Oryzias latipes: one gene and its partner. Each later gene encodes a partner of the first gene's protein in a complex. Links are inferred from orthologs where the notes say so. Each region holds a gene or a part of one and is shown on either strand. Other genes may lie near its edges.

Region 1 (8,141 bases):
CGGCAGAGCGCGGGCCATCAGAGACAAATATATTTATCTAAATATATATATTTTTAAATCTCACCATGTAATACGTCACTCGATTGACATGCATAACGATCAAAGGAACATCCTCTGAGACATACCTCACTGTGCTTATCTACTTTTTTCTTTCTTTCTTCTTTCTCTCGGCAGACGACCACTCTGGCCCACAGGGCCGTTTATTGAGGCACCAGCTGGCCCGCGTGCGGCCTTGGTCAGATGCGGCACCTGCTGCCGGGTTTGCGGTTCCCGCCTGACGGATCCGAGCCCACGTGGGAAGCAGCGTCGTCCAGAGCGAGGCACGTGCTTCTCCAGCGCCGTCCACAGAGCGGTGGCTGCTGTTCGGTCAGCAGAGGTTACGCCCTTTAGATGTGTTATGCTCCCCAGTAGAGCATGAAACACAATTGTCACTGCTTTCATAATAAAAAGCCTGATCTGTTTAAATTCTATATTACTATAAAAATACTATTAATACTCGTGACAACCTCACAAAGATTTGTGTACTCTGTCATTTTTGAGCTATTAATACATAAACAGTATTTTTGACTGAAGATATAGTAGAAATAGTCAACTTTGAAGTTACACCACATCTAAATGATTCTTTCAAAGACTATTTTTATTTGAGTCTAATTTGTGAAATATTTTCAGACAAAATGCAGAGGAAGAAAATCTGTCTTCCATTTTAGCTTGAAGCTAACGTGTTTGCAAACGTTTTCAGGGACATTCACATGTTTTGAGCGCCGGTTTATTACGCCACTAACTTTGTTTCATCTTCTCTTGTTCCGCTTCACTAATTAGCGGCACAGACAACCTTTCAGACTAGCTTTGCACCTGAAACCCATCACACACCACCTGTCCACCCCTGCTTCAGCTCATCTCCAGTCTTGATGCAGGTTCTGGTTTTAAATAAAAATTAGGAGGAACCCTTTACACACCAAAGTTCTGAGCAGTCAACTTCTTTTGTCTCCATTTACCGCTAAGTTGTTTTTATAGGACACAGATTTTTCTTTCCCAATTATTTTTATTTGCGTCGTCTTTTACTGTCTTTTTCATCTTGATGTGAAACATCTGAAATGGTTTGATCCCATCAAAGTGCTGACATGTGATGACAGAAATTAAAACGAGTAGTTCAAGTGTGGATGGACTGACAGATTAAAAACTGAAGTTTGAAATGTCCACAATAAAAAAGAAAAATTGAAACAGTACGACTCGAAAATATTTTTTTAAAACGTCTCCACAAGGTAGTTTACATCTTTATCCATAGAAATTCATTCTAGTCCATGCAACAACAGAGAAAACACTCTGGCACCATAAAAAGCAAAGTGAAGTGTGGAATGAGCGATCTGATAAAAACACCGGCGGAGTGGTTAGGACGGCCGGGACTCTGTCTACTGGCCCAGGAGCCTTTGAACTATAAATAAAAAGTTGGTAGAGTCCAGAGAGGAGAGACTCGATCAGCCGGCATCAGCTTACAGTCCAGCTGCTCTGCAGAAAGTCTCCATGTCACTGGAGGTGTCGGCACAGGTCAGGTGACACCAGGATACAAACACATAAAGTATGAAGCATAGAAACCATCAGGCTAGGCATTAGTGTTCTCAGTTCCACCTGAAGCAGAAAGGGCGGCGTGCTGCCTGTCGGGGCGACGACCTTTCTGCTTTTTTTAATTGAATGCGTCCCGGCGTGACTGTCGGAGGGGAACCTCGACAGAGGAGTCAAAACACGCCCCCCAGCAAACCATGGAAGGACTTGTAGTGTGGGACTGAGCCGGCACCAGACTCAATTAGTGTCGCTGACGATCACAATGACCATGTGCTCCTCGTCCAGATTACCCACAGTCCTCCGGGCAGCCTGCAGGAACTGCTGTGAGAACTCACCGGGGGGGAAGGCGTACAGCATCCCACCCGTGCCCCCCTCTTTGGTGGCAGGCAGACCAACCACCCCCGCCGCCTCTTTGTTGCGCAGGTATGTCACCAGGTGCCGGAGCAGACGTATCTGCAGTCCCGGCTCAGGGGCGGGGGCCTGGCGGTCGATGGCGCCCTGCAGAGCCAGCAGGATGGCAAAGCCGTCAGGGCGGCCGAGCTTGATGCGGCGCGACACCTCGTCCAGCCGGGTCTGGTCCATGCGCAGGCGCTGGGCAATTTTCAACTGGCTTGGCTGGTTCCGGTTCTGCAGATTCAGGCTGTCCTTCAAAACGCCGCTCAGGAAGGAGGCCCCTCCCTCCAGCATGTACAGCTCCGTGGGGAAGCTGCTGTTCTTCAAGGCAAAGAAGCCCTGCCACACCTTGGTGAGGGAGCCCTGGGCGTACTCCGACAGCGAGCTCAGGGTGGACGAGGTGTCCGTGTGGGCAGCGGGGGGGCTGGCGGCGGCCACGTCGCTGTTTCGATGGTGGTTGTTGACGCTCGCGGACCTCTTGCTGTGGTGACGGCTGGATGGGGGCTCTTCCTCTGTGGCATTTGCGTGTCGCCCCCCTCCACCACTGTCAGGGGAGTGGTCTCTTGGCTCAGTGGTGGAGTCCGGGGCTCGAACCCGTGCTCGGTCTGGGCTTGCATCAGGGGAGGCGGTGCCTCCCGGAACTCGAACCCTCGACCTTCCCTTTTCTTTCTCCTTTTCCTCCGACTGCTTGTCGACAGACAGACTTCTGCTTCTCCTGCGGCTCCTCCTCTCCTCCCTCTCCTTCAGCCAGCGTTCCCTGCTCCTGCTGCGGCTCCTCGCCCCTCGGCCAGCTCTTCCAAACGCCTCCACTCCTCCCACCCTCCTGTCCAGGCTTCGGGTGGGGCTGCTGGGAAACTCTCTCTCCAGCAGGACCCTCTCTCTCAAAGAGAGGAGGCTGTGGGAGGGCGGTGAGGAGCGCTCCCTGGTTCCTCTCAGCTCGCGCTCCAGGCTGCGATGGCGACTGTAGGCCTCTCCAAGGAGGTCATAATGCGTGGGGGGAGGCACAGGAAGCTGGTAACCAGGGGGAAATGGGCGGGAGGGGCTCTCCTCCACTTTAGCAAAGTCCACCCTGAGGCGGCGCTCTGGCCCGCCCAGAGGAAAGCCCCTCATCTGGGTACAGGCGGCCTGGGCTGCATCCAAACTTTCATACTGGATGTAAGCAAAGCTGTCGCCCTTCACATAGTCAATGTTCCTAATGCTTCCAAAGCGGTCAAATTCCCGCGCCAGAGCGGTCAGCGAGTTTCCTGGTCCCAGACCGCCCACCCACAGTCGGGTGGTGGGGTTGGCTTTGCCGTATCCGATTTTAATTGGGTTTCCACCAATAAGACGGCCCTGCATGGCCACTTTGGCCCTGTGGGCCATGTCAAGGTTCTGAAACTTTACAAAGGCATAAGCCCCGCCCTGGCCGCGTGCTGGCCGTTTGATGACCACGTCCTCAATGATGCCGTATTTATCAAACCCTCTCCTGAGTTCAGCCTCCGTCACATTCCCGTCCAGGTTTCCGATGAACAGGTTGCTGGTGGCCCTCTGGTCATCCTCGGGCTTCAGGTCCTCCACTACAGGCATGGGGGGGAACGCGTAGGGCCGCCCCCTCTCATCCAGCATACCATAATAGTCCAGCAGCCTTTCCCGGTCTCTGCTCAGACCCAGGCTCTCCAGCGCAAAGTGTCTGGCCCGGAGGTCCCGCATGCTGCTCACGCCGGTCCCGGGTGGGGACAAGGAGCGCTGTCTGTACGGATAGGGGGCGTGTAAAGGTAGATAGCTGACGTCCGGGGGGGTGACGCTCCGCCTCCTAACGTACATGGGCTCTATTTTGAGCTGTCTATCACCCAGAGCCAGCCGGGAGGACTTGGCGTGCCGGGCCTCCTTGGCGTCCTCCGGCTGTCTGAAATTGACGTAGGCGATGCGGCCGAGCTCCGGCGTGTGCGACAGCTTCACGCTCACGTCCCCGAACTTTTTGAATTCGTGGAACAGCGCGTCCTCGACGTCCTCGTCCGACACCTGCGAGCCCAGGTTGCTGATGAGCAGCGTTTTGTACTCCAGCGTGCCGGGTCTCGCGGCGGGGAGCTCCGCGGCCCGCAGCGGCGGCCGGCCCAGGAGGCTGAGCTCGTGTCGGTGGTGGAGCTCCAGCGCGGCCGCGCGCTCCTCCCGAAGGCGCGGCTTCTCCCGCTCCCTGCTGCGGCTCCGCCGGTGGTAGCTCCGGCTCTCCGCCAGCAGCAGAGCCAGCGGCGGCGGCGGCGGCAGCTCCTCTCTGCGGGCGCTCTCCCGTTCTCTCTCTCGAATCCGCTTGGCTAGGGCCCTGGATGGGCTGCCGTCTCTCACGGCCTGCCGCTTCATTTTCCAATAATGATGGAGAGTTTCAACTTTTTTTCCGAGCCTGCAGCGGAGATCCGGCGCTGCTGCGGATTCCGGGAGCGTTAGCTCGGAGACGGCGGCGGCGCAGGCTGCTTCGGTTAGGGGGCGCTTCCAGAGCGGGCTCCGAGTGGTCACACATTTACGGGGAAAAGAGGAGAAGCCTTTAAAAACATGTCAGCATCACAAGAGCTGCACCAGCGCCGCCATCTTGGACAATAGGAATGTGCGCGTTCCCAAAGGAGGGCGGAGCCTGTAGTGACGCAAGCACGTTGCACGTTTTGATTTGAAAACTCCTGCATACCAAATTGTCCTTGTTTATTAGGTTTATCCATTTTTCAAAGGAAATCAAAATAACACAGCAAGCAGATGATACTGCATTATTCTTAATAGACAGAAACCACATTGACCTTGATACAAGTATAATTAATTATTTTTCAAACGCTTCTGGATTACGTCAATAGAGATTACGTCTTAGTTTAGTTAAATGTCAAATATTATTAAAAAGTTAACCCTCGTGCTAACCTATGACCCCACCCTTGCATTGACGTGTTCTTCCTACCATGACAAAGGTGGATAAAGGTGGAAAGATTTCATGTAATCCATGGACACCAGTGAAGATCACAAATCATTGAAGAAAAAAGGTTCAGAGCACTGTCTAGTGGGTCTAGATGACCCAACTCCCAATGTTAAAGTGCCTAGGATAGCACAAAGGTTAAAATGGTTAAAGAAAAACATGGTATCCCTGTTAAAAATGTAGTTACATATTTAGGCACCAGTATAACAATGGACAGAAAATCTAGACAAACACAAAACTTCTCCTTGAGAATTAGAAAAAATGCAAGATGTCATGAATATGTGGCTTCAAATAGATCTATCTATTTTTGGCGGGATCCTCTTGGCTAAAGCGAAAGGTATCTCAAGAGAAATTTCTCCTAATCTATCCTTATCTTTACTTCTGTTCAACTTCCAAAGAAATAAACAACCTCTTAGTTAACTTTGTATGGAAAAATAGACGTCACTATCTTCAGAAAGAACTATTTTATGCCCCCTCATGCAAAGGAGGTTATGAACTCCTACATTTCTCAGATTTGAATTATACATTTAATGGTTACTGGATTCAAAAAGGCCTTTAAGACTCAAAATCAATTTGGTACTTTATCCCATTTAATATTTTATAATAAAATCGGGGGTCTTCAATTTCTTTTTAAATGTAAATATCAGAAAGACTCCTGTCAATCTTTAAAATTTGTATCTGCAAGTTTTGTCGTGCCTGGACGTTATGCTATGCACATTATTTCTCACCAAACAAAAGTATAACTTGGAACAATGATGATATAACCATCAAAAATTTGATCTTTTTGATGAGAATGGCAGCCATCGATTATGACAGGTTCTTCAATAAAATGTGTTTTCCAGTAACAAGCAAAGAATTCAAGAGTGTAATGAAAGCTCTTGTCTCAGGAGTAATTCAACTACTGACTTCTAACCTTAAATATCACGAGGAATCTGAAATACACCCTCCTTTAACACTTAATGGTATTGATATTTTCAATCAAAAAATTGCAACAACAAACACATAATACTTTTAGCGAAAAAAGAAGCATAACACCTAAAGGAGAAATTTATTGGAACCATATTTTAAATTATATCAATTGGAAAAAAAGCATGGTTACTGCCAGATACATTTTGAATAAACAATAAAGTTAAAGAAATACATAAAAGAATTTCAAATAACATTTACCCCACAAATATGTTCATTTCTAAATTCTAAAGATAGATAGAAAATAACTGTAGTTTTACTTAAATCAGTTCATCACCTTTTCTACTGTTGTACATCCTTTCACTTCTGGATCCGTTTAGAACAATTTAAAGAAACAAAGTAAACTAATACATTTCAAACAAATTCTACACATTTTAACTTTGGTGATAAAATGGTAGAAAACGTTATTAATTTGTTGCTTCTCCTACCTAAATTTTTCATACAAAAGGGCAAAGTAAGAGAAAAAAAACTCCCAAATTTACTGGATTTAGGATAAGAGATTTGTCAAATTTCTTAAAAATATTAATACATCCAAGGCAATTTTTTGTAAACATAATTTTTTTACCTATACATATATATTTAATGTTTTAATTTCGTACTTGCAAATTTTCCTTTTTGTTAACTATTTCCTCATTAATCTTTTATATTCTGTATTTCTTTTTTTGAAAGATAATATTGGTTATTGCTATCTGATGGTCTGCTTGGTGATGTGATGATGTGTACTTTAATACAGTAAAAAAAATACGTACATAAAAAAAGAGTAGTCTACATGTGGGGAGCATTGAAAAAACAAAACAAAAGCTGCCTTTTTTTTTGTTGGCAAAGAGGGAAAACAGATCAATAGAGGACACTGCATCTTATGGGGTCCAGATGACCCCACCCTTACATTGACGTGTTCTCCCTACCATGACAAAGGTGGAAAGATTTCATGTAATCCATGGACACCAGTGAAGATCACAAATCATTGAAGAAAAAAGGTTCAGCGCACTGTCTAGTGGGTCTACATGACCCAACTCCCAATGTTAAAGTGCCTAGGATAGCACAAGGCTAGGATAAATAGTGCCTAGAATAGTTAAGGAGGAATTAAAAGGACAATCTGCGCCTGCTGAAACTGTCCAATAGTGGATGTTTTTCATGTACTGTGGTCATATGACGTTTAATTCTGGTTTTCGACTATTTTAACACTCTTGTCATTGTTGTTTTTATATTAGATGTACTTTTAATTAGCTCCCATTTAATTGGTTATGATTTCTTGTTTTCAATGACAATGACAGCAAATTATTAAATGTTTGAAAGTTTCACTGACCAGAGTACTGTTTAAGTTGGGTTTTACCAACGATGGCAAATAAAAACCTATGTACCTAGACCAAACCCTCACCAGGAAAACTTTTGGGACCGTAGTCTAAGGGAGGAATTCTTTTTATTCATTTTCAAAGGACAATTAATAGTTTTCTGACAAACCACTTTCCCTCTGATCATCGGAATTGTTGATTTACACCTTTTCTCTTAGTATTTGACAGAGAATGTCCCTTAATCCCAGGTGAACACCATGTGGTCCTTCAGGTACACTTGTTGCTGGGAGGTCATGTGGATCTTCTAGTTTGTGCATTTAGTGCTAGACCAGTAATCTCCTTTCAGAGTAGTAGGTTGATCATTTTGACTGGTATCATTATAGTCCAGTTTTTCATATTTTAATGAAAAAGTAGAACAGCTGTACAAATGACTTGAATGCATGTTCAGCGACCATTTGTTGTGTCGTTTTACACTTCAGTTTCCAAACCCAAGTTATTCATTTGACGGAGTTCAGGTCAGGTGAACAGAGCGGTGGCAGCTGCTCGTTCCCATTCCCACAAGGCTGTGCGATCGATACAGACGTGTTCTCCTGCTCCTCAGGAATCATTGGCCCCTGAAGACTGACTGGTTGGGTTCATGTAGTGGAGAGAGTTGCTCTCTGGACTGAACAGAAACTCTTAAAGCTTCATGAATATTTTACCTATGCGTTAGAGACTGAGTTGGCTTCAAAGGTACAGGTGAGGAGCAAACACAGATTTGAAGAAGAATGCAGCGTTCATCCATTCTGCACTCCAGAATCCCTTTTCAGCTCTTTGCATTGCTGTTTCTTTCCACGGCGACTCTCCTCGCCACATGACGGCGGTGTTACCAGCAGCTGCTCAACAGAGGCCGGGCTTCCAGCTTCCGAAGCTTCCTCCTGGTAGCAAAAGGAAGTCTTCCAGATCTTCACCTCCCAGACGTGCAGGTGAGAATCACCCAAAGCAGGACGTGATTATGTGGA
Region 2 (7,194 bases), on another chromosome or scaffold:
TTACCCCCACTGGCTGAGGCACTCCCTCCCCAGCTCCATGGCCCTGAAGGAGACCAGAACCGTTTAGAACCATCACAGAAAGGTGAGGAAAATCAAGACAGGAGTCGGCGTTTGGCTTCAGAAAAACAAAAACCTCTGCCCTGCGTCAGAAGTGCAAGTCCACCTTAAAACTCAGTCACTGCAGAACAATAAAGGTGGACACAAACTGCTTTCCTAATTGGTTTTTTAATTGATTGAGTTTAAAGACCCTCTCTAATCATCTACAGCAGTGTTTTTCAACCTTTTTTTGAGCCACGGCACACCTGACCATCTCCCACAACACACTGGTTGAAAAACACTGATCTAGAGATCTATATGAAAAGTTTCCTCAGTGGCCTTTTTATTATGATTACTCAAAAACTCAAACTCAAACTCAAAAACTCAAAAACTCAAAAAACCTGTGTCGTTTTCTAGGACATAGTTTCTGCAGAGCAGCAGGAGTTCATTAGAAATTCCCCTCTGAGTTGTGGGCGGGACCGTCACAGATAAGATCTCTTTTCAAACGGCATTTTTTTCTCTGCTGCTGATTCAAAACAGTAGGATTTTTTTTTAAACTCAGAAATACAACTTTAGGTTTCATTTCATGTCCACCATCATCAGAAAAATGACACGAGAACATCTTAAAAAACTACTTTCATCAGTCTTTAAAGTAAATAAACTTTAGGATAAATTATTTTTTCATATATGAGCAGGTTTTAGGGATCTGATACAATCTAAACTGGAATATTCACAGGAATCCTCCTATTTGAGCTGCATTCATGACGTCTCAGCTGAGATGGCGTCACAGCGGTAAAACCAGAAGCTGCTGGTTACACATTAGTCATGATGGCTTCTATGTCATGTATTCCTGACTCATGGTGTTTGAGCAGAAAGCAGATCCGCTTTGGAACGGATGGATCTACATCTGATAATGAAGCAGGTTCTGCTGCAATAAGGTTCATGTTTGAAATCCTCTAAACACCCGCCCTGATCAAAGTGGTGTTTTTGGAATTTTTAACATGTTCTTGTGGTGTTTTTCTGATGATGGAGGACATGTAGGAAGAATATTAAGACAAAAATTGTATTTCTGAATCTTCATTTAAATCGTTGCTGGACGGGCCACAAGCCTTCCTGCTCCGAGCTATTAGCAATGGCGAAGGGAAGGGAGGCGGGGACGCTCCACGCCAGCGGTCCAGCCCATAACTCTGAGGGGAGTTTCTAATGAACTCAGCAAAAATTATGTTCAAGAAAACTGCACAGGTTGTTGGATTTTGGCTAAAAATGGCAAAATCATACATAAAATGCCCCCGGAACACAAGATGATGAAAGTGGGTTTTTAAGCACTGCTGCAAAGAATAAAAGGGTGGTGGATGAGGCAGAAAAGAATCAAAGATGCTAACTCTGCTCTGGTTACCTGCCAGTGACCCAGAGGAAGAGGAAGCCGTCGTCCTGCAGGGCTGGGATGTTGAGTTTCCTCATTTCGTCGTCGGTCAGAGTCCCATAGGGCAGCTCCATGTGGATGTCCCAGGGGGGGTCAGCCATCACCACAGCAAACTTACCCAGAATCGACACGTCCAGGTAACGAATGTCGCAGCAGATCCACTGAGAAATGGAAACGCTTTGCTGAGAGACTAGAATTCCCGCTAAGAAAAGCGCTCTCCGCCTGATGTCCCCTCCTCACCTGCGATGGGAAGAGAGTGCCCACGTTGCTGTCGGCGTCCCCCGCGCAGAGGCTGACCTCCGCGCCCCCCGTCTGCGGCCCCAGGCTGCTCTCGGCCTCCGGCGGGCTGTCGATCTCGTAGTGGACGTACTTGCAGGTGTCCATGTGGAAGCAGGTGTTGAGGAAGGAGCAGTCGCCCAGGCTCTCGTCTGTGTGCTTGTTGATGATGCGACTGAGGAGCAGAAACAGCAGAAAAACCTTTAAGCTCATGAATTTAAAGCGTTTCGCTTCACGGACAAAACCTGAACTGATCGGAACAAATGTAAGAATAAAAAGATGAGCGAGAAGAGTAAAAATGTAAAATCTGAATTTTATCCTAGAATTAAAGCAAATTACAAAAAAGCAATAGAAAAAAAAAAAGTTCATCCATAGAATTTAATGAGATGTGTGTCAAAAAGCAATGGCTATATAGTTAGATGAGCTGCTTTTTGTTAGATAAATGGCGCCATCTTCAGGTTGAAATAGGTAGTTTTTTTTTTCTAATATAAATATAAAACAGTGGTTTCTTCTAATTCAGCAACATCAAACCAGAGTGAGCTTTAAGAAGTCGAGGGGTCAAATGTTGGGCTTTGAGGCAGAAATCTCACCGGAAGTGCAGCTTGGTGCACGGCTGAGGAGCGTCCCCGGAGCGGACGCACTCCTCTTTGGTCCCGTGGTTGCAGAACTCTTGGACCTGAGCGCGTCCTCGCGAGCGGAACTTCTCCACGATGGACTGCTCTTTGGCGGTGCTGGCGTTCAGCAGCTCAAGGATTTCTCTGCTCACCTGCACACATGTTCAGAAACATGATGATGATGATGAAAGAGCATTGACCTCCAACCTGGGGTCAAATGACGATCAGCTGAAAGTAAATAAAACACTAGATTGTAAATTACATTAAAAAGAAAATAAAAAAAAGCAAACTTTGAAAAAGAAAATTTGAAACAAAAATAATTCAAACTTGCGGTAAAAGAAATATTGAAAATCAGAAAAACAATTAAGTTTGAAACTTAAGTTAAAACCCCCTTTATGTCTATTGATGTAAATGTGCATCGAACCACTTCTGCTGCAAAATTAACTGAATTTATCATCTACTTGAAAGCAAAAACTCAAGTGGAATTTATTTTTTTCAGTTGCAAATAAATTCGAGTCTGGAGGGGTTAAAAAAGAACAAATCTAAAACTGTTACCAAATGAAAAATTATGTTTTTTTGTCACAGCTGCTGTTTTGTATTTTCAACATTTCTTGGTGTTGAGACCATTTTTATGTGGGAGTGGAGCTTTGTTCACATCGCCCCTGGCAACAAGAGCACTTTCATTGAAAGCTCTGTTTAAACGAGGCTTTTGCATTCAAAGCTCTCACTTTCCAGCGGATCTAAACAAATTTTGAATGCGTGTTGAAAGTTAAACCAGGTTGAACTTCAGTCAGAGACTCGTACTTAGTAGTGACGTATGGATGGTGTTCCTTTTAATTCACAAAAGTGGCAACCATTTGAACATGAATCATGGAGGAGAAATGAAGAATTGTAGTTTGTGAATTCAATGACAGCAAGTTTTTCATCTATGAGAATAGAGTTGCCAAAGATTCAACTGATTTGCACGGCTTTGACATTTCACACCAAGCCTCTTCCAACAGTAGAAAAAGAAAAGAGAGGAAAGGAGAGGAATGTGTAATTTTGAGTTTAAAACTGCTTTTTTTTTTTTTTTTTTTTACTAATTTCCAGTTTGGAATTTCACTTCCCTTTAAACTGACCCTGATTTGACCCCAAACAGACCCCAAAAATGTAAAAAATAATGAAGCAACATTTAGCTTTAAAGCTGGAAGCTTCAATCATAACAAATAAAATAAATATTTTCTAATATTATCTCATTCACAAAAATGTCTCAAAAGGATATTTTACAAGAGTATAAATTAAAAATTTTCTTAACTTTTAGGACGTGAAGTTTATTTTATTAAATATCAAACATACTCGTGGTTTGAGTCCACGCAGTTTTCAAACGTTTTTCCACTTTTTGGCCAGAAAAGACCTAATATTTTTCTCGTCTGCGAGCCACATGTGACCATCAAAAGAGCCATATATGGCTCGCGAGCCATAGGTTCCCGACCCCTGTAATATTTCATCTTCTTTACATTTACCAAACACAGGTCCAATTTTCCTTACGGTTTTGCTGCTCAACATTGTTAATGGTTTTGATAATTGGACAAACTCAACAGCATTTAGTAGAAAAGACTTGGTTGATCTCCAGGTATGAGGTTTACATTCGTTTCTAATGTATCAGTCAATATCACTGAGCAATGCATAATTATGGGTGTAGATTTTGAAGAAAAGAAATGTTTACTAAGCTAAAAATGGTGATACTTATTTCCTCTTGGCAAATTAATCGTTGACTTTTGGATTTTATATTTTCTTCTGTTTAACTTTAATCTTACACACACCAGACACCGTTTTATTTTCTCTGTTTTGATTATCCGTGTTGTACACGAACGTTCCCTTGATGTGTAAAAATACATTGAAATCCCACTTTAGACTCTTAACATTGATTACTTGCTTTCCTCCGTCTTTCTATCTGTGAAAACATCAGGAGTGAGGATTCATTTCCGGCAGAGAAAAACATTGGATCACCTTCTTGCTTTGCTGCTCCTTGGTGGACTGCTGGTTTAACAGGCTCTCGATCTCCATGTCCACGTGAGAAGACTGGCTTTTGTTGCTCCTGCCCTTCTTCTCGGCTCCGCCCCCCGACGCAGAGGAGCCAGTCAGCTGGGAGCAGGAGGCGGGCGTCAGGGAGGAGATGGATGAGCGTGGAGGAGAAGCAGAGCTCTGAAGGGAAGGCGAGAAGCTGCCGGCTCTGCTACTGAAGGCCACGTCTTCTGCTTTCCTCTTGACCGCCGTCCTCTGGGATCCCGCCACGGATCCAATCATGGCCCACAGCTTGGTGTGATCCACTGCCACCACGACGGTGGAGGAGGGAACCGCGGAGGAGGCAGAGACGGACGTGGGCTGTCGGACTTCAATGAGCTCCTGAGCTGAGAACTTTAGCAGGAGGCTCTGGATGCATCCATGACTGGCGGCAGCTTCAGGCTTCAGACAGATAAACAAAGAAATCATAGTGTAGAACGCCGCATCCAACAGGTTCTTCAATGATCCCAGAAAACCACCTTACATTGTTGAGTTCATTACTGATGGCAAGGGAGTCTATAGGCAACGAAAGACTCAGGTCAGACAGATATCCCAGCAGCCTTTTCTCCAGCTCAGGATCCGGTGGTTTTTCTGTCTCCTCCTGAGAGCTGGATGGAGCTGGTGGAGCCGGGCTGTCACTCCTGACTGCAGAGCCATCTGGGACGGTCCCACTGTCTGAGAGACCAAGAAGGACCAACACATTGCATTAGAAAAGAAAAGAAAACGCATAAACACATTTAACAGTCGGACTCCGACTATATTTATATCTATTGTTAAACCATTTCCAGTCGTCTTTTAATTATGATTATGCTGTTTTGGCCAAAAGCCTGTGTTGTTTTTCTAAAGACATTTTTTCTTTAAAACGGCAAGAGTTCATCAGGCTTCGCCTCTGAATTGTGACCCTCTGCTGATATCCCATCACCCTCTATTTACACGCTCTTCTGCTAGCTTAAAGCCCCTCAACACTCCCAGCTTGTATTAGGGGTGAAACAAAAATAGCGAGCAATATCAGAGGTATCCAGCCGTACAGTTTTGAGCTGGATGTCAGCTCAGACGAGGAAAATGAAGACGTTACTGTATCTACTTGTTTGCCAGTGGATGGATCAGAGTGGAGCGGAGCTGGGAGACTTTCTGCCGCCCATTTCAAACGCTGCATCACAACTGAAAGCTTTTCCAAATAGTGGGTTTTTATCTGCTCCTGATCCATCCATCCATCCATCTTCTTAACCGTTTTTCCCTTTCGGGGTCACGGGGCTGCCGGAGCCTATCCCGGCCACTTGTGGGCGAGGTCTGTCGCAGGGTAGAATGTCCACAAACACACCACACACTCTCACACATAGGGACAATTTAGAGTGACCAATTAACCTATGAAGCATGTTTTTGGATGGTGGGAAGAAGCCGGAGACCCCGGAGAAAACCCACACATACACGGGGAGAACATGCAAACTCCACACAGAAAAGCCCCCTGTTGATGTTGTTTTTCATGTCCCCCAGCTGGGACTTGAACCGGAGGCCTTCTTGCTGTGAGGCAAGAGTGCTAACCACTGCGCCACCGTGCAGCCTCCTGATCCATCACCATGGAAATAAAAAATACTCAAAAAAGCAGTTTTCTTGTTTTTCCCTACATCCTGAGCAAAACGCTATGAGGAGAAGAACCCCCAATAACATGATTTTCATCAGAGTCGGTCTTTAAAAAAAATTTTTGATTCCTCTGCTCCATTTAGGATTGTTCAGTTGTTAAATTTTATTTCCACTTATTTTAAGGAATCTATTGTTCAACTTGCAAACAAACAAACAAAAACCACAACAACAAAAAGAAAACAAAGTAATCTCGAATTGCTAGCTACTTACTGTAAAGTTGTTATAATAATCAACATTTGTGATTTTGCTCCTAAAATAATTTTTTAGAATCTATATATATCTTTCTAAAGACTGTGAGGAAGTTTTGAAATAAAACATTTAGATGTGCTTTTCAAATATTTTTATATTAGAAAGATTTTAAATTAACACAATAAAATTGTATATATACAGACAAAAATTTTCTTTACTGGCTTTTTTGTGTTTACAATTAATACTATAAATTGTTTACAGAGGTTTTTACTTTCGTTATGTTGTTTGGTCGCTGTAGTTCAGATAATAACCTAAATAATCAATAAAAACATCAGTTTTTTATCTGCGAGAATCTATTTGTTAATTCACTAACTTGAAATTATAACAATAAAATGTATTTTAAATCATTTATATGAACAAGCAAAAACGTAGAGGATAAAAAGTAAAGGTTGTGATTGAATGGTGTCCCTGAGACTGAGACCAGCCTAACCTGCGGACAGCTGCGTTGGGTCTTTCCGTCGCCGCTGTAGCCTTTCCCGAAGCGAATCCAACTGCTTCTTATGCGCCTGAATGTTGCTCCATGTATCCGACATGACGAGCTGGAGAAATCAACACGAAATCAGTTGCAAGTCCCAAAAATGAAGAAACTTCCAAACTAACAAAATCACCCTCGGCACCTAAAGGAGCCCCGAATGTCCGGTCCAGAGAAAAGTCTCGGGCAAGTAACTCGATTGCGGTTAATGTTTCCGCTGAAAAATTACTGCTTTATCTCAATAGTATTAATAATTACACCAACTATCAAGATGTAAAAAACACGATATTGTACTAGTATACTTGTTACTTATATTTTTACAATTTGTTATTTTTGCCCCTAAAATGAAAAATGAATTGTTTTGTCGGACTCTTTTCTGTGAAGGACCGCTTCTACTTCCCGCGTCACTGAAAATCCATTTCCGTCATGCAAAAAAACAA

Evidence for each region. The genes of interacting proteins can lie anywhere in the genome.
Region 2: rbm15b (region 1) and mettl3 share a complex: the UniProt entries of both Homo sapiens proteins name them as parts of the WMM complex. The link is inferred for Oryzias latipes from reciprocal best matches to the Homo sapiens genes RBM15B and METTL3.

The regions. Positions count from the first base shown.
Region 1 is NC_019863.2:6,225,414-6,233,554, reverse strand, and holds rbm15b (putative RNA-binding protein 15B), read right to left. Parts: upstream 4,850-8,141; 5' UTR 4,291-4,849; coding exon 1,798-4,290; 3' UTR 1,029-1,797; downstream 1-1,028. UniProt on the Homo sapiens protein: RNA-binding protein that acts as a key regulator of N6-methyladenosine (m6A) methylation of RNAs, thereby regulating different processes, such as alternative splicing of mRNAs and X chromosome inactivation mediated by Xist RNA.
Region 2 is NC_019876.2:17,631,688-17,638,881, forward strand, and holds part of mettl3 (N6-adenosine-methyltransferase catalytic subunit), read right to left. Parts: exon of another isoform or gene 7,163-7,194; intron 7,032-7,162; exon of another isoform or gene 6,900-7,031; intron 6,822-6,899; 5' UTR 6,816-6,821; coding exon 6,713-6,815; intron 5,068-6,712; coding exon 4,877-5,067; intron 4,795-4,876; coding exon 4,339-4,794; intron 2,502-4,338; coding exon 2,326-2,501; intron 1,911-2,325; coding exon 1,700-1,910; intron 1,621-1,699; coding exon 1,433-1,620; intron 44-1,432; coding exon 5-43; intron 1-4. UniProt on the Homo sapiens protein: The METTL3-METTL14 heterodimer forms a N6-methyltransferase complex that methylates adenosine residues at the N(6) position of some RNAs and regulates various processes such as the circadian clock, differentiation of embryonic and hematopoietic stem cells, cortical neurogenesis, response to DNA damage, differentiation of T-cells and primary miRNA processing.